2 linked regions of the Notamacropus eugenii genome follow. The protein of the gene in region 1 interacts with the protein of each later gene in a pairwise test. Links are inferred from orthologs where the notes say so. Each region holds a gene or a part of one and is shown on either strand. Other genes may lie near its edges. The genes, in order: CREB3L1 and FXYD domain-containing ion transport regulator 3-like.

Region 1 (8,509 bases):
AGTGGGTTTGGAGTCAGCAAGTTCAAATCTAAACTTAGATACTTACTAGTTGTGTGACCTTGGGCAAGTCAACCTCTGTTTGCCTCAGTTCATCATCTGTAAAATGAGCTGGAGAAGCCACTTCAATATCTTTGTCAAGAAAACCCCAAATGGGGTCACAAACAGTTAGACACGAATTGAAATGACAGAACAACAACAACAGAAACTGTGTCTACTGGCTGACAGATAGTGGTCAACACAGCAGGGGAGCTTATGAGCTGTTCTCATATTAGGAGTATAAACCTTCAGGGTTACCCCTAGAACCTAGTCGTAAGAGGTACCTTCTGGGAATCCAACCCTTGAATGAGTGTACAAGATAGAGGTACAGCCCAGAAGGGTATTACATATATATGTATTGGAGACAAACAGGTCACCCCTGATGTCTGCTGGACCATGGATCACTTCTGGTGGGTCACACAGCCTCTGGTTTTACTTTTATTATCAACCTATCTACATGCATGTGTGTATGTATATACACACATATATATATACATACATATAAACACATACACATATACATATGTGTATACATCAATATGTCATCAACTCTTTTTAAAAAATTATTGTGGCATAATCCCACTTCAAAAACTTCCACTATCATTTCCTGTGGTACTTAATGCCTCAAACACTAAAAGGTTAAATGACTTGCCCAGGGTTACATAGCCAGTGTGTGTCAGAGAGGTAGATCCTGAGCCTAGCTCTCCAGCTCCAAGGCCATCCCTGTATCCACCATATCCTGTCTCTTCTTATGTATTTTCTCACTTATGTAAATGTTGCTCCTACCCCCTTGTAAAATGGTAACTTCTTGAGGGGAGGCACTGTTTTGACACTTGGTCTTTGTAGCATCAGCACCGAGCCGGGGCCCACGACATAGGAGCCTCCTAGACTGGATGCAGTTGGATCCCAGTCCCTCCACTTGACATCCTTTCTCTTCTTTCTGCTTCTCACTCTTCCTTCCCTTCCCTCCTCCTGGGAGCTCCCCTCTCACAGACTTCACAGAGATACAGAGACCAGAGTGTCTCCACAGGATTAATTTAGATGGTTTCCTACAGTGTTCACCTGGGTACAAATCAAGAAAGAGAGGAAATTCTAATCCTATTTCTCTGAAACTCTGTAATCTTCCCCAATCACTTAAATGGTGCCTGTGTGTCTAATTACAGGGCAGGCTAGGAGGAATGTGGCCCACTTTCCAGTTACCCCTAGGCAGAAGAGTTCTTTTGGCCCATCCTGTGGACCCCAGTCCCTGCCCAGGACACCTGCTGAAGCAATTCAGGAAGTTCAGACTTTGGGGGGAGAGTGGTCCCCTAAATCAAGCCCATCACCTCAAAAGGAGTTGTTCTACTTGGCCAACTGGAATGAATTTGGGGAGAATGAGTACCAGCTGTGTTTCTCTGCTGCTCAAAGGAGCATCTGACCGACTTAACACATCTAGAAATTCACTTCTTGATTTCTGTGTCTGCACAAACAGGGTCCCATGACATGGCACTCTGCTTTACTCCCACCACTGGGCAGATGACTCCCAAACCTACATCTCCAATTCTGCTCCTGCTTCCAAGCACCACACCCACATAACCCACAACTGGACAATTCTATCTAAACATTATCCCAATAATAAAGAGATGGCCTCTTAGGCCCCTTAGAATGGTTCTAATAATAAACATTGACTCAGGATCTGAGTTCAAATCCTGTTTTGGTAAGACGTTTACCACCTGAGTGGATTTAGAGAAGTCAGTTAAGTTACCTAGGCCTCAGTTTCTTATCTGTGAAAAATGTATATCCCCATTCAGCTCTAGGCCCATGATACTCTGATCTCCTGATAGGGTTCAGAACTGACCTGCCTCACCTTCCATTTTCATCCTTTCTATCCATGGCAATCCTGCCTTCCATGTTCCAGAATTTTGGGTTATCTTCAGCTTTTCTCTCTCCCTTACCTCATTCAAGTTGTCATCAGTCTCTACTGATTTCAGTTCTGGAAAAGCTCTGTCCTCCATCCCTTTTCCCTTCTCCTGGGGCCACCACCTGGCCAATGAGGCCTGTTAGACTCCTCACGGGTCTTCTCTGAATTCTCTCCCCTGCCATCAATCCTTTACTCCACTAATAGACTCACTCTCTTATGAGCTGAACTGGTCATGTCACTGCTCTGTTCACAAATTTTCAACAACACCCCATTGCCCACCAGGCTAAGTTTCGACTTCTTTGTTTAGCATTCGAGATCCTCCAAAATCCTTGGTCACCTAACTTCCCGACCATCTTTATAACTCTGTATGACTCTGTACTCCAGCCTACCTGGATGTACACTGCCCCTTAATATGCTCTGGATTTATCTTTGCTTCCCCTTTACCTAGAACACCCTTCCTCTCACCCTCAAAAGAGGCATTAAATATTTGCTGAACGAATGAATGAGTGAATGATTGAATAAATGAGAGTGAATGACACATAAGCAGACCAAAGACTTTGGTAGAACAGCAGGCATCTCCAAAACCTGGCCTGGCTCCCACTCCCAGCCCTTCTCTGGATCTCATGCTTTACCAAAGAAGTGTGACAGGAGCCGACATTCACACATTTAGTGATACACAGATTCCTGAAAGACTTGAGTTCCTGTGCTCATTAAAAGTCACAGGCAAAGAGGACAGAACTTAATCCTGTTAATGACTTCTGAGCAGAAACTGTGTGCCCTGCACTCTTCGAGGGCCCTCCTTCCAGACAACACCCCATTTGCTCAGGGGCCCAGTGGATTGTTTATCAATCCTTTCCAGGAGATTGAGCTGTTCCTGGGAGCTGGTGGCTTTGATGATGGATCGTGGGGAGTGTGTGTATGAAGTGCCAGGGGGTTGGAGGGCACAGGAGAACCAATCAGTTCTTCCATTATCTGGCATTGTTCTCTTTCTTCCTGTTGGTTCAGAACCAGGAGGTGAGTGTGTGGTTGGGGGAGGGGAGTTGTCAGCTGACTGCAGAGAGACTTCTCCAGGTGGGTTTGCTGTTTCATGAACTAGTGTTCCCCATCTAGTTAAGGGAACTGGATAAACACAGGGAAAGGAGGTGAAATTCTGAAAGCTGAGGCAGAAATTCCAAGAAAGAATTCCCCTGTCCTTTGGTCCGTCAATCAACAGGCATTTATTCCAAGCCTTCTGTGTCTCCGGAACTGTGTTAAACAATTCTTGTCATTTCGGAGCCTCAGTACCCTCATCTGTAAAATAGACTAGGTGATCTTCAAAGTCACTTCCAGGACTTTCTGCGAGGTGCTTTAGTCAGTAAAGACAGGCCCTCCATTCAGGTTACAGAGATTTTTTTTCACACATGATTATCATTTGAAATTCAAGATAATTCCTGTGAAACAGTCTCTGCAGATGTTAGCTGCGCTTTACCGGTCACTAAGAAGTGTCTGGAGTGAGATATGAACCCACGTCTTCCCGATTCTAAGTCCAGCACTCTCCCCATTCACTAGGAAGCTGCTGAGAAAAGGAACTTCTGAGAGATTAGCTGATTTGCCTAAGGCCACAGACTTGGGACGTCCAAAGAGAACCCTGGTCTTCCAAAACCAGCGATAAATCCGTGCTACCTCTCATAAAGTCAAGGACTTAAAACTAAAAACGATAAGGTATTTGGAGTCAAGGAATTCCACGTCACAGATCATTCAACAACCAGAACATAATCGATTTCTCCCCCGCCTGGCAGAGAACCTTGAACACAATAGGCATTCAGTAAATGCTGAGTCAGATTGAATTCAATCTCTTTTCGGGGATCGTGAACCCGCTTCTTGTTTAGTCTCTCTCCATGACTCTATGGACCATACTGTCCATGGGGTTTTCTTGGCAACGATAGTGGAGTGGTTTACCATTTCCTTCTCCGGTGGATTAAGGGAAATAGAGGTTAAGTGACTTACTCAGGGTCACAGAACTGGATGTCTGAGGTACGATTTGAACTCAGATGTTCCTGATTCCAGAACCTATCCACTGAGCCACCTACCCTACCCCTTCCCCTCGCCCCCAGGACCTAGGCTCTTGGGCAAATCTTTCCCCTTCCCTGTGCCTCAGTTTCCTTATTGTAAAATAACAGACTGATCTGAAAAACCTCTGAGGTTTTTTTTTTCCATGACTAAACCTATGATCCCATCAACTACATCTAGGACCAGCTAAAGTAGTGCTCATGAAAAGGTTTTGTTCAGTTGAACAGAATTGAAGGCCTACTATGCGCAAGGCATTTTGCTAGGCGCTGCCAGTGTTTCTATCCCGTGTGGTGAAGGAACAATGACCTGGAATTTTCTAACTCTCGGTTCCTTTCTGCTGTTATTTCCATAAAACGACTGGAACAGAAATGCCTGGCACTTGCCAATTATTGCCGGGGGAGGGAGGCTGACACAGCGACTAAAAGCCGGGGGGTCTGTGGCCACCTGCTGAAGATTCCTTAGCTGAAGGCTTACTCTCTGCCCAGGGCCTGGGACTGGTTTCCCTTGTAGTCCCACGGCGCCCGCAGTCATTAATCATTGCCCTGGTTCGGGGGCAAACATTCTGCACGCAGAGAAAAGGAACGGCAGGGTTGGTCCTCTAAGAGGCTGCCTCTTTAAAGGGACGGGTCTGGAAGAGAAGGCACGCCCCCAATCTCATTACTACTAAGGAGGCCCCTGAATATTGAGGAGGTGGGGGTGTGGCAACCAAGCCTAGCTGGCGGAGCTTGGGTTTCCCGGCTTTGGAGACAGGGAAAGTGACAGTAGAGTGCGGAGGGGAGAAACGCACCGAGGGAGCGGGAGAGGAGAAAGCTCGCTCGGCTCCCACCCAGTCCCGGGGGAGTCCGCAGCTCCCCCGTTCCCGGCTCCCGCCCAGCCCCTGGGAGGGGCGGGAGCCCCCACTTCTCTGGCCCCAGCCTCTCCTTATGGAATCTCGCTTTGCCCGGGGTGGAGGAGAGATGCCCACCGTGCGCCGGGAGCCCCGCTGCCCTGCCGGAGGCTCACGGATGCCCTGAGCCCACACTCCGGCTGCACCGCTGTCGCCGTCGCCCCCGGCCAGACGAGGCTCCAAGATCGCCGGGGGCTTGCCGGAGAGCTGCCAGCCCGAAGGCGAGCTTGGTGGCCTGGACGCCCCCAGCGCTGGACTGACTGAGCCGGGCAGCAAAGGGGGTGTTCTGCCCGCGCCACCTCCTGGGAGCCCCCGAGCCAGACACCATGGACGCCGTGTTAGAGCCCTTCCCAGCAGACAGGCTCTTCCCCGGCTCCAGTTTTCTGGACCTGGGCGATCTCAATGAGGCGGATTTCCTGAGCAATGCGGTAAGAAAGGCCAGGGGTCCGCGCCCAGCGGTCACTCGTGTCCCCAGCTGCTGAGCGCGCGCGCACAAGCACACACACACATACATACACACACACACTCACGCACACACACAAGCACACACACACGCATGCATACACACGCACACACACACATACATACACACACACACTCACGCACACACACAAGCACACACACGCGCACACACACACACACATACATACACACACGCACACACACATACACACACGCGCAGACACACACGCACACACACGCACACACCACGGAGGCAGGCAAAGGACCCAACTCTAACCCCCTGGCACGGTCTGGCGTCCCCCGGGATACAGCAGCTGCGACCCTGTGCGGGGGTCAGCCCCAGCGAGGGAGGGGCGGGAGGAGTGGGTGTAGTATTTAGATCCCGAGTGGAAGAATGAGGTGACCCAAGGAAGAGGGCTGGGGTAGGAGCGAAGCAGAACCAGAGCCCAGAGTCGCCCTCGGGGTCAGCTCGTTGGCGCTTAGCCTCCTTCCGTGACATGTCACCCACTCCAGCCCTTTGGCCGGTCATGAAGGCACGATGCTGGCAGTGGAAACAATGGCAGCCCTGGGAGGGGGCAGTTGTGCCCCTCTCCCTCACTCCCCGCCCCCCCCCTTGGAACCTGGTTTCCTTTCAAGGCCAGCTGGCCTAGAACCCGGACTCCGAGAGACTGAGATCTAACCGCTGCCCCAGCTCCAGCTCTAGCCCCCGGGTGTCTTCTGAGCTTGCATTTCTACCTAGCTCCGGGGAGTCTTCTGTAGCTTCTGAGGGAGGAGAGGGTAGAAAGTCTCTCTTGGCAATAGGGTCATTCTGACTCGAGGAAAGAAACTCGGATGATTCCCCTTTCCTCCCCCCTGTCCCTGTCCCCCCACTCCCCCTTTTTGTTCCCGAGAGCAAAGGGTGCAGTCTGATCTTGGGGGAAGATGGGAGGGGGTAGTCTGCCGAAAGCCAGAGAAAGCCTGAGCCTGGCGCCCCTTCGGGGACACAACCTGGATCGACGCCAGACCAGGCGTTCAGGAGATGTTGCCGACTCCCCACCAACCTAAGGCAAAATATCAAGAGAGACCCTCAGCAGAGAGCTCAGGGACCAGCCCTGCACTCCCCACCTTTGTAAGAATAGGTTAGCAATGGGCAGAGAAAGCTGGCATTCTCTCTTCTCTCCCCACCCCACCCCCCCAAGGAAATGTGTCCTCCCTCCAGCAGGCTCAGCCCCAAGGCCCTGATGGTGAATGGAGGGGGATGGGGGCAGGGAGTGCACTCAGTCACGGGAGAAAATATTTGGCTTTGGAGGGATCTGCCCAGTTGAAATTTCAGGACCCTGTGTGGCTTGGAGGTATGCCTGTGGTTTGGAAGTAAGTCCAGACAGGCTCCCAGCAGGTTAATTCATCCAAGGGCCAAGTTCCCCTGGGTCCTTCAGGCCACCCAGGCCTTTCTCAGGACCCAACCATCCTAGGTGCAAAGTCAGCAGTTAGACTCTGAGAACTTTGCCAGAAAAAAGCGGAGAGCTCAGTACCCCGATATGTTAGGGGTAATCTCATCCTGCACCCTCTACCACCAGGGATTGTCTCGTTACAGAAGAGAAAAGTGAGGCTGCTAATAGGGTATTGACCAGATTGTAAATGGCCTCATTAAACAGTAAGCCCTTTGAGGGTGGGGATCATGCCTTATGTATCTTTGTTAGCCTACAAAGCACCAGCATAGGTCCTCAATCAATGTTAGTGGAATGCGTGAATGCATGAATGAGTGAATGAATGAATGAATCTGCAGAGGTATGAGTGGCAGAGGACCAGCTTTTAAATCAGGGGAACTGAGTTTTAGTCTTAATTCTGTTACCATCTGTACGACCTCACTTTAAAGTCACTTTAATCTCCCTATACCTCAGTTTCTCCATCTGCAAAATGAAAGTGGAGAAGTCAAATCAGATTATTTCTAAGGCGCCTTCCATTTTCAAGTTTATGAGAGGGTCTTCTGCTCATGAGAAAAAGAGGCAAGGCAGCCTAGTCCCATACTGTAAATCAATTGACGTCTAACACAAGTCTGAGAAACACAAAGGGGATGTGTGGCCTCTCTGCTTGTGATTTATCCAAAATAATAAATCCTGGCATTTATATAGCCCTTTGAGATTTGCAAAATGCTTTTCTTATGTTATCTCGTTAAATCCTGACAATTCCCCCAAGACAGGTTCTGTTATTTCCCCCACTTTATAGATGGGAAAACTGAGGCTCAGGGAGATGAAGTGACTTGGTGGTCTAAGTTGTTAAAGTAGTAAGTAGCAGTCACCCGCATGGGACCAGATAGCTAGTAAATGTCTAAGTTGGAATTAGAATCCAGAGCTGGCTGATTTCTAGTTCACTGCACTGGCCACTCTACGTCTGGGGAGAAGCCAAGTGCCCAGGTGCCCAGTCAGTCACTTGTAGTGTTTCTTCATGTTGTCATCTCAATGGGAAGGTCTCTCCTCCCGGTAAGGGTGGGGCGGTCTCTGGGGATGAGCTCTGTGTTAGACAAGGGGTTTCCAGGGGCTCTGGCCACTGCTGCTCCTTGGACAACCTGGAAAAAAAAATATTCTCGCCACTTTCCCTCTGAATTCTTGGGGCCATGCCTGGATTAGCTGAATTCCTACATCCTTTGCAGTTCTAATTCTCTCTCAGTCTACTCGCCTTGAGGTAACCAGTTTTGATCCTAGCTTCCCAGCACAACCCTGAGATGAATGGAGAGGTTGAGGGAGTGGGGATTCACCTTGCTGCAGCCAGGCACTGACAACCTTCTCAACGCGAATAGGAAGGTGGGGAGGCTCCCGGCTCTGCCCCTGAATTGTAACTTTTTTCTGAATAAACTCAGCAGACTCATCCAGCTCCCCATTCAGACCTTCACCCCCAGCTACTCAGCTGGGTCACAGCCCAGCCACAGTGGATAGGTTCACGGGGTCAGATAGTGGTGTCCGGGGGCAGTGACTCCATCAAGGGAGAAGTTCAGGCTGGTAAGGAGCCTTTGTTCTGGGGTAGCCCAGAGTCACACCTGGGCATGGTCCAACAGGCTTGCTGGGAGAAGATTCAGAAGGTTCAGAGATGAAGTGTAGCAGGGGATGACATCTGAGGGAAGGAAGAGAAACCTTGGCATAGTGAACACAGTATCAGACTGACAGTAAGGACAGTTGGATTCTAGATCCTAACTCTGCCAA
Region 2 (9,089 bases), on another chromosome or scaffold:
GAGCAACATCCATGGTGAGGGAAAGCAGAATGGCTCAGACACTTACATATGGCCTCAGGGGCTAGCGGCTCCCTGCCAGACATTGATTCCCATCTTGGAACACTGCCAAAACCAAGGTCAGTGATCTGAAACACGGATACAGAACTGACCGGAGCTGGGATGAGTGGTCTGCAGCTACCTTTTCCGTAGAACTTCTCTTTAGTCTGGAGAGGTAAATGCCCACCACAGTCATGTTGGTGGGGCTTGGGAAACACAGAGGTATGCTTGCTTCTTGTAACAGTTATATACATGTATATGTGAATATATATATATGTGTATATATATATATGTGTGTGTGTGTGTGTATGTGTGTAGTATGTATTTAATATCGATGTGAACTCTCTCTCTGCCCATTTCATTACTCCCGTTCCAGTTCCCCCTGACCATCAGCAGACCTTCTCTTGGATGATCAGTGGGTAGTTGGAACCCTGTTCCCTGTGATTTTTTACCCCTTGCCCCAAAATTCCCCAATCCTCCCTTCCTACCTAAGAGGGTGCAGGGCAAGTGGGGAAGGAGAATGCGGTCATTAAGTTATCCACTTTCCATCTTGTCAGGTTAATGAGGCTACATTCACCCTTCTGCTGAACCTCAGCATGGGAGATATCCTCCTGTACCAGGATGGATTCCACCTAACATTGCAGACACACTTTGGACTAGTGTTCACCTCTGACTTGGTCCACAGCCTCTTCCTTACCCTGCCCCCAAATTACATGGACCACACTTGTGGGCTATATGGGAACTTCAGTGGGGATGACTTCCAGCTACCGAGAGGTTCCCCAGTGGGGGACCCAGTGACTTACTCTGCCTCTGAATGGAAGCCGGATGATGGCTGTAAAGACAGTTGTGCCAAGGGATGTCCAGCATGCATGGCCCAGGAACAGCTTGTACCCGCCAAGGTCCAGTGTTGGATCCTCCAAGACCCCTGGGGGCCCTTTTCCTCTCGCCCCATGGAAATTGATCCAGAACCCTTTGCTTCTGCCTGTGCCAATGACCTATGCCTCTCCACGGGAAACAGTTGTGTCTTATGCCTGACCAACCAGATTTACGCTGCTGCCTGTCAGCGAGCAAATGTCACCATCAGGGACTGGAGGAGCCCCTCCTTCTGTGGTGAGTGGGCAGGTCCCCGTACTCCCATATTATGCCTTTGGGGCTTCAGGTCTGTAGGCCCAATACCAGGCCCAAGCCAAAGCACAGAGATGATGGCCAACTGTCAGACTCCAGCCCTCCTTCTCTATCAAAATGATACCCAGGGCTGGAACTGACATGCTACAAAATACTATCATACACCTCAGTTAGTCCTCCTTTAAGGAAGGGATTATTCCCCTCTTTACCAATGAGTTGAGAGTTGAGAGCTAAAGTGATCTGCCCATAGTCACATAGCTGGGAAGGGTCTCTTCTGACTGACTCTGAGGCTATCTATTAATGGAGCAACCTCTGTGTACAGATGCATGGGTTTGGATGAAGCAAAGACCCAAAGAATCCATAGCTCACTTTCCCTGGGAAATGCCCTTAGCACTTAGAAAGCAGCAAATCAGTCCAAAGCCCAATATTCTGAAGGGACAGAGAGTAGAGAAGTTTCTCCAAGTCTGTGGGGCTTCATAGGAAGAGGACCTTCCAAGAAGACTTTTGGAGGGGTTTCTGTCACCACCTCATGGCAAGAGAGCCCAGGAGAAAGGGCCCTCTGTCCTGGCTTCTCTCAGACCTCAGAGGCTCCCTATGGCTATGGAGCAGCTTAGTGAGGATGCACACTCCAGGGCTCTCTTCAGCTCGTCTCCTCTCCTCTGCTGTCCTCTCTCCACAGCCCCCCACTGTGCCCAGCACAGCCACTACGAGCTCTGTGCCTGCCCTCGCTGCCATTCCTGCCCTGGCTCTGAGCTGAAGTATGGGCTCTTGTGTGTTGAGGGTGCATCTGTGATGATGGGTACCTGCCTCAGGGATCCAGCTGCCTCCCAGCCCCAGAGCATGACTGTGGCCACCAAAGTCAGCATTGCCTAGTGAGTTGCCCCCCTGTCTACCCCATATAGTCTTGGGGAAAGGGACAGCTGGTGCTCCCACACTGGGCGCCCTCATCCACAGGAACTGCTAACCACAGATCATAGCTCTAGAGCTAGAAAGGGGGTCTAGTCCCATTCCCATCTGAGAGAGAGAAAGACTAAGGCCAAGAGGTTAAGTGATTCATCCCAGATCACAGAGGGGATTAAGTAACAGAGGAGGGATGCCAGTGTGAGTTCAGTGATCTACACTCTGCCACACTGTTCTCCAGAATTTAAGCATCCAATCCCTGCTACCCTCAAAGGTCTTTATTATGCACCAAGTGCCATGCCCACCACAGAGCCTGTCTCTCTCCTTATCCCCTGATGCCAGGAAAGCTTTTCTCCTGCCTGCTCAGCCCCACCCACCAATGGGCCAGTACCTTCTTGCTTAGAGGGAACCATCAGTCAGTGGAGGAGAAGTCTCAAAGGGCTCTCACATGAATTATTTCTGACACCAACCATGCCAACCATTATAAAGGCACTTGGGGCAGGTACTGCGGTTATCCTCATCCGACAGATGAACATCCCCTAATTTGTCTGACTTGTGAGCATCAGAGAGTTAGACTTGGTACTGACTTTGAACTTAATTCTTAGTTGGGGCTCCATCCCCTGTGGACTCCTACCTTCCTCTCCTCCTACAGGAACTGAGCCCTAAGGAGGCTTCTGAGCTTCTGTGGAGACCACAGAGCAGTCACAAGTGTCTACAGCGGAACCACACTGGCCAAATCTGAATCTGGTCCACCCAGAGCTCAGAACATGAAGCCAATAACATCATGCAAGCAGCAACAAATCCCCCCAGATCTCTTCTACAATTCAACCCAGTCGCAATAAAACACTAGCAGAAGTCTCTGCCTAAGCCAGAATCTGCTGCCTGGCCTCGAGACTAAGGGAGAAGACCTATGGATCAGCTAGTTCTTTTGGCTCACAAAGGCTTGGTGAGGTGGGGAATAGGAGAAGAAAAGCCACACCAGGCACTCACACACTGAGCACAGCTTTGGCTGCTGTCCTTCCTATGCTGTCCCAGAACCAAGACCAAACTGCTGAGACTCAGCATTTTTTCAAGGTGGGCTAGGTAGGAAGGAGAGACAAGAGTCCAAGAGGCCTCAGCCATCACTACGCCATCTCTTTTTGTGTTTCTCATTCCTATCCTTCCCCACAAGTTGTCAGCATCCATCCATCCATCCATCCATCCATTCATTCAATAGATGTTTTCCCCTCCCCAGTCCTGTGCCTGACTGCTGTAGGGGAGGTAATACAAGGATCTGATTTGGTCCCTGCTCAGGGGAATTGGTTGCCTATTTGGGCAAATAAAATGTATGAAATGACTACATCAGTATAGATTTCAAGGGCAATGACCATAAGAAGTATTCATTAAAGGCCTGTTTACTGAAAGATTAACATGGGTTAGTGCACAGGGACTAGGAAAAGTTAGAGCTAGATCAGGGAGAAGTGGGGCAGGTCAATATTCTGCATGTGTTATTGCCTTCCTAGTATGGGACTAGAGGAGGGGGCACATGAGTGCCAAGAGTGGGGAGCACTCTGTAGCATAACAGGGGAAGGCCATGGCCCACCTTGTATAGGGCATGGGGCAGGGAGCAAAAGGCGGGGGACAGAAGGCAGGGCACAGGCATAGGGTACATGTGGCAGGGGACAGAGGGCAGGGGACAGGGATGTAACTTCCTTGCACATGGCACTTCGAACATAGCAGATGCTAATTAAATGCATATCCATTTGAATTACCCTGACCTGGGAGGCAGGACCTACCAGGGTGTCCAGATAAGTCTAGTGGCACATTTCTGGGGCTCCCCCACCAGAGGGCAATGCTGTGCCGTGGCCAAGTCATCTTGGGGTCTCTTTGTAGCCACTGGGAAAAGAAGACTGTCAGGGGACTTTCCAGGGAGACTGGGACCTTCATATCCCAGGTAAAGAAAAGCTGCCAAGCTTAGGATCAACATCTCTGAATCTTCTGTCAAAGCATCTCCTCCAAGCAGCAGCCCCCATCTCTCTGCAGGTCAAATCTCTAACCTTCACCCTCCTCCAAGTGTTTGGGCACCTAAGACGCTTGCTCGAGCCCATTCAGACTCCAAAAGTAGGGGGCTGAATTCCCCTGCTGCAGAGGGCAAGGTGGGGCTCAAGGCCCTGGCCAGCTGGGTCTGACTCAGAGGAATTGACAAACGCCTTGGAGAAACCACATCCAGACAGCAGATGGCTCTGGGGAGTTTCCCTTTCCCTCTCTCTCTTTCTCTGCCTCTCTCCCCTCCCCTCTGCTGGGAAGTAACAGGGCCCGACTCTCCCTGAGCCATTTTTCCTGAGCATTTATTCCCCTTAACTCTACTCCAGAGCTATTTCTTCTGTCCCTCAGCTTTCTCCATCACCACCTTAACCTTCAAAGAGGTGCCAAGGCCTCCTCTCAACCCTTGCTATCCTTTTGCCTGGCTCTTCTCTGCCTGTGGTCCTCTTGGCTCCTCCCCAGGAGGCAGAGTGGGGGCACCCAAGCTCCAGATGGTGACCAGAACAGGAACAGAAGCGTCTCCTTTGCCAGCCCCTGCCCCCTCCCTATGACCCCAATCCTTTGCCAGCCTTTCAATAGCCCCTTGTTCCCAGTCCAGCCCCCAAACAAAGCTCTCTCTGTGGGGAAGGAGCAGCTTGGGGCAGTGGTTACCCCAAATGGAAAGGCCAGGGCCATCCTGGGCTCCATATGGACCCCTGTCTGGAGGAATGTTAGGAGGAGGGCGAATAAATCTTATGGGCAGGGAAAAGAAATGAGAGGGAACAGAACTTCAGTCCACAAGTGGTTGATCAGTCAGTCAGTAAGCATTAATTCCACACTATGTGCATAGTGTTGCCCTTAATCTACCCAGCCCAGGCCACTCCCAGGTCCCAGATAATCCATCATCTGCCAACCGCTCCACCTTGCGGTTCGCACCCTCCTGCCAGGGCCCAGGAAGCCTGTCTCAGCAATTCAAAATATTTATTGGGGAAAGGGGGGGAGGAGGAGAGTGCGTTGGCTTCTTTATCTCTCCTGCTCTGCTGGTGAATGGTTGGGTGGGCTTGCAGGCCCTAATCCAAAGGATCTGCTTTTATATCTTCCCCATCCCATTCCTGATGATTTTACAGATAGCTGGGTCTTTCAAAACAGCTCCAAAGGTCTTTCCTCAAGGGTGTGTTTATGAAGCCTCCTTATTGTTGGCCCATTTCAGCTGGGCTTTAGGTAGACAAAGAAGGTTAAAGGTCTCTGAAAGGATTCCCCACAACTCCAAGAAGAGGAGCCTTGGTCCTCTCCTCATGTGTATACATATGTATATAAACTAACTTTAGGCTCTGGTTCTGTCAGGGCCTAGAGGCTGAATGGGGTCAAGGTAGGCAGATTGGGCCTTCTGAGAAGAGAAGCCAGACTGCCCCTTTAAGAGCAAGTGGGGCGGGGGTGGGGAGCTCTGCTAGAGCCCCAGGGAGTCAGACCTGTTCCCTACCTGCCTGGTTTTGCCCAGGGTGTGTCTGTTCTGTATAAAGAGGCTGGGGCAGGCCTAGCTTCACTAGCAGCGGTTCCTTCTACTTCCCAGCTCTGTCCTGCAGTCCAGGTGAGCATCAAGAGCCCCCTACTCTAACTCCATTTATTAATCGTGTCCCCTCAGCCTTGGCTCTGCCTCCCCCACCTTCAACTTTCCACCCTCCTATGCCTGTTATCTTTTTGTGTGTACCTCTCCCCTGACACTTTCCTCCTCCTCTGGCTTCTTCTACCCAGGGCCTTCCCTTGTTCCTGGGCTTTGGGGAAGGGCTGTCTCTGTGTAAGTCACAGTTGGTTGAATGGAGCTGGAGAAGAGAGATTTTGCTTGGGAATCAAAGCCCTCAGAGCTTGGGGACAGGTAGCATTTTGGGATTTTAAAGTACTGGAGAAAAGTAATGAAGGAAACAGCAGGGTTCTGCCATAAAGCAGCATTGGGATACAGAAGGAATAAAGAGGAAGAGCCCAGGTGGCAGGAAAGTCAGTCTGCTGGTCCCTTTGAGTAACGCAGGGCACCCAATGCATGATGGCGATCATAATGGAGAAGGGTTGGGGGAGCCGCTACTCAGTCTGTTGGAAGAACAAAGAAGGGGTTGGGATGAACCATTTTAGAATGAAATGGTAGCAATGTGCCCACTAAATGAAGGAAACCTAGTTATAAGTATAGCTACTGAGGCAAAGAGTACTGTAGTCTGGAGAGCTTAAGTCACAGACTAGGTTTGGGCGCAGAAACCAGGATGGAATGCGGTACTATAACATAAATAGGAACAGGATAGTATATCAAAGTCACAAGGAAACCACAGTATTAACAAAAAGTAATGAAGTGTATCACAGTAACCTGAAATAATAGGAAAGGCAGAACTATGACCAAAGATACCAGAATAACGTGGACTAACAGAAAATAAAGGAAGAATTCGCTTCAGTGTTTTCTGCAGGGTAACCAAAGTGAATGCAGAATATTAACATGACCTTCTGGCAGTAGTAATGCATGTAATGGAGGATGTGGTTCACAGCCACCTGGAGGAAGAGAGGGGCTCAAGGTAAAGAGGTCCCCTGCAGTACCAGCCAGCCTCAGGCAGTGACCACAATCTAATGGCCATAACCCAGGGAGGTGGCATTAATGGGGCATGACAAATATTCCTGGGAGGCAGGGACTTTAGTAGTAACATGGAGATCCCATGAGTCAACACTAACTAGAACATTGCCTTTCAGCCCCAAAGATCAGTGAGGACATCATTATAAAAGGGGAAAGGGATTGAAGAAATACCACAAGCCCATACTAACCCCAGAAAGAGACTGTAGGGAGGTTTCCCAAAGGCAGATGGGCTTTGAGTCACTGTATAGAGTAGAAGTGGTCTGGAGCACAGAAGGTGGGGAGGAGGATCCAAGGGCACAAAATAAGAGGGGTGAAGCCAGGTTGGAGGAATTCATATAATTCTCTTGAGTTGCAACGACTTCTTCTCAGCTCTGGCAGCAGCCTCTGGCCCCCTGGGGCTTAGCTGTCCTGTCTGCTCTGTTGCCCACCCACAACCAACCACAGTCACGACCTCCTCCCTCTCCCCCAAGAACAGCCAGATATGCCAGGCCAGCCCCAGGCTCTGGACCCCAGCCCAAAGAAGGGATGGGCCATTCAGGCTCCGAGCTGTCTGTGGGAGAGATTGCCAGCAAGGAAACCTCAGCCAGTTCCAAATACAGGCATCCTGCCACCTGGGCCTGGGCTCCTCCCTTTTGCCCCTACCCCAAAACTAGCTCAGACTCCTCCATGGCCCCATTCACCACCCCTCCTGCAGACGAAGCAGAGTGCTCCTATTTCCTCCTTGGAGAAATTTAGTCAGCATCTGCCCTCCCCCAGCTCCCTTATCTGCCCCTCTCCTTCTCTGCTTCTTATCTGCTTTCTTCCTTCTTATCTCCTGCCCTGGGTTCAACAGAAAGACTTTCGTCCCTGTGTTGCTCCCATGTGTACATGTGTTTGAAGTTGCTGAGCTGGGGGTGGGGGAGGGCAGAGGGAATAGGAAGGAGAAGCATGTGTTCCATTGAGGTTTTTCCCAACAGGGTCCAACTTATTCACCTCCAAGATGCTTGGGACAACAGTGGGCATTCTACTGATGATGGCAGGTCAGTGCCAGTTTTCAGACTGAAAGACTGTTCCTTTTCCTGGACTTCTCCCTCACTTGAGCCCAAAGATACTGCCTCTGATCCTCTTACATTTCCCTTAACCCAAACTGAGCAGCATTCCAGAAACCATTGTAGATAGGGTCATTGCTTTTCTACTGTGTGTTTGTCCGTTGCCAAAGAAGACCATGCCATCAGAGATGTGATGACATGACTTGCACTTAACTTTGTTTTGAGTGAGTAAGGGCTGTGAACGTTACCAGCCTCACTTCTCCTCCAGAGCCATCTGAATCCAGTGACCAGATATTCATCAGGATGACTGGAGATGACCCAGGAGGAGGCAATTGGGTTTAATTGCCCAAGGTCACACAGCTAGTGAGTGTCAAGTGTCTGAGGTGAGATTTGAAGTCAGGTCTTCCTGATTCCTGCACTAGTGCTCTATCCACTGCACCACCTAACTGCCCCTGCTTTTCTACTAAGAGGCCAATAAAAAGTACGTTCTGAAGAGGCCAGGGCCACTAGGGGTCTGTGTTCCTAGAGGGGGCAAAAAGGCAGCTCAAACACCTGCCTTCCCCAATCAGAGGCCAGAAATAGTCAATAGTATTGAGGAAGGGCATCTAAGATGCTGGAGTCAGTAGCAGCAGCTGGAATGAGATTGGAAATCCAGAGTCCCTAAGAGAAGAGATGCTGAAGTACTGGGAGACAGTTACATGGGTGCCTTGTGAGACATGGCTAAGGAAGGCACTAAAGGGCAGGTGTAAATACCTTTAGTAGGAACCTCAAACGAGATGGGGAAGCTCATTTCCTTCTTTTTTCCTCACCACGAGGAGAATGAGGTGAATAAATGCTGTTGAACACTTGAGGGTTTGTGTGATCTCCCATTTGGAGGCATGCCTTTGCCACCCTCCACCAGCAGTCTGAGGAGTCACCCCTACTGAAGGATACAGCAGGCAGATATCTGCCTGTGCCCAGAGCCAACCACCAAAAGGCAAGGGTTAACCAGTCTTGGGTTGCCAACACTCCACTCTCCCTCTGCTTTTTCTCTTTCTCAGTTCTGCCTGCCCTGGAAGCCAATGACCCAGCTGGTGAGTTACTCCCAAGCTTCTTTTTTGGGGGAGGGAGGCAAGTGGGGTCAAGTGACTTGGCCAGAATTACATAGCTAATAAGTGTCTGAGGCTGGCTTTGAACTTAGGTCCTCCTGACTCCAGAGTCAGGGCTCTGTTTACTGTGCTACCCACCTGCCCCTAATCCCCAAGCTTCTTTGAGGTTGCAGGCACTCTCCCTTCTGATAACGTTCTCATTGTCTCTTTTTTCCTTCAGATAAAAACAGCCCTTTCTATTACGGTAAGAGCATCCTTGGTTTTGCCTTCTCAAGGTCTTGGGGTGAAGGGGATGGAAGTTGC

The links.
Region 2: the proteins of CREB3L1 (region 1) and FXYD domain-containing ion transport regulator 3-like interact in binary tests that used the Homo sapiens proteins (3 or more experiments, as listed by UniProt). The two-hybrid records come from large-scale screens. The link is inferred for Notamacropus eugenii from reciprocal best matches to the Homo sapiens genes CREB3L1 and FXYD3.

Annotation. Positions count from the first base shown.
Region 1 is NC_092877.1:4,549,978-4,558,486, reverse strand, and holds the start of CREB3L1 (cyclic AMP-responsive element-binding protein 3-like protein 1), read left to right. Parts: upstream 1-4,707; 5' UTR 4,708-5,197; coding exon 5,198-5,299; intron 5,300-7,101; exon of another isoform or gene 7,102-8,420; intron 8,421-8,509.
Region 2 is NC_092876.1:32,518,483-32,527,571, forward strand, and holds the start of FXYD domain-containing ion transport regulator 3-like, read left to right. Parts: upstream 1-5,534; 5' UTR 5,535-5,650; intron 5,651-6,497; 5' UTR 6,498-6,574; coding exon 6,575-6,614; intron 6,615-7,626; coding exon 7,627-7,689; intron 7,690-8,738; coding exon 8,739-8,771; intron 8,772-9,006; coding exon 9,007-9,030; intron 9,031-9,089. Other genes in the region: IgGFc-binding protein-like, read left to right, coding at 594-1,146, 1,841-2,033, 2,714-2,714. UniProt on the Homo sapiens protein: Associates with and regulates the activity of the sodium/potassium-transporting ATPase (NKA) which transports Na(+) out of the cell and K(+) into the cell.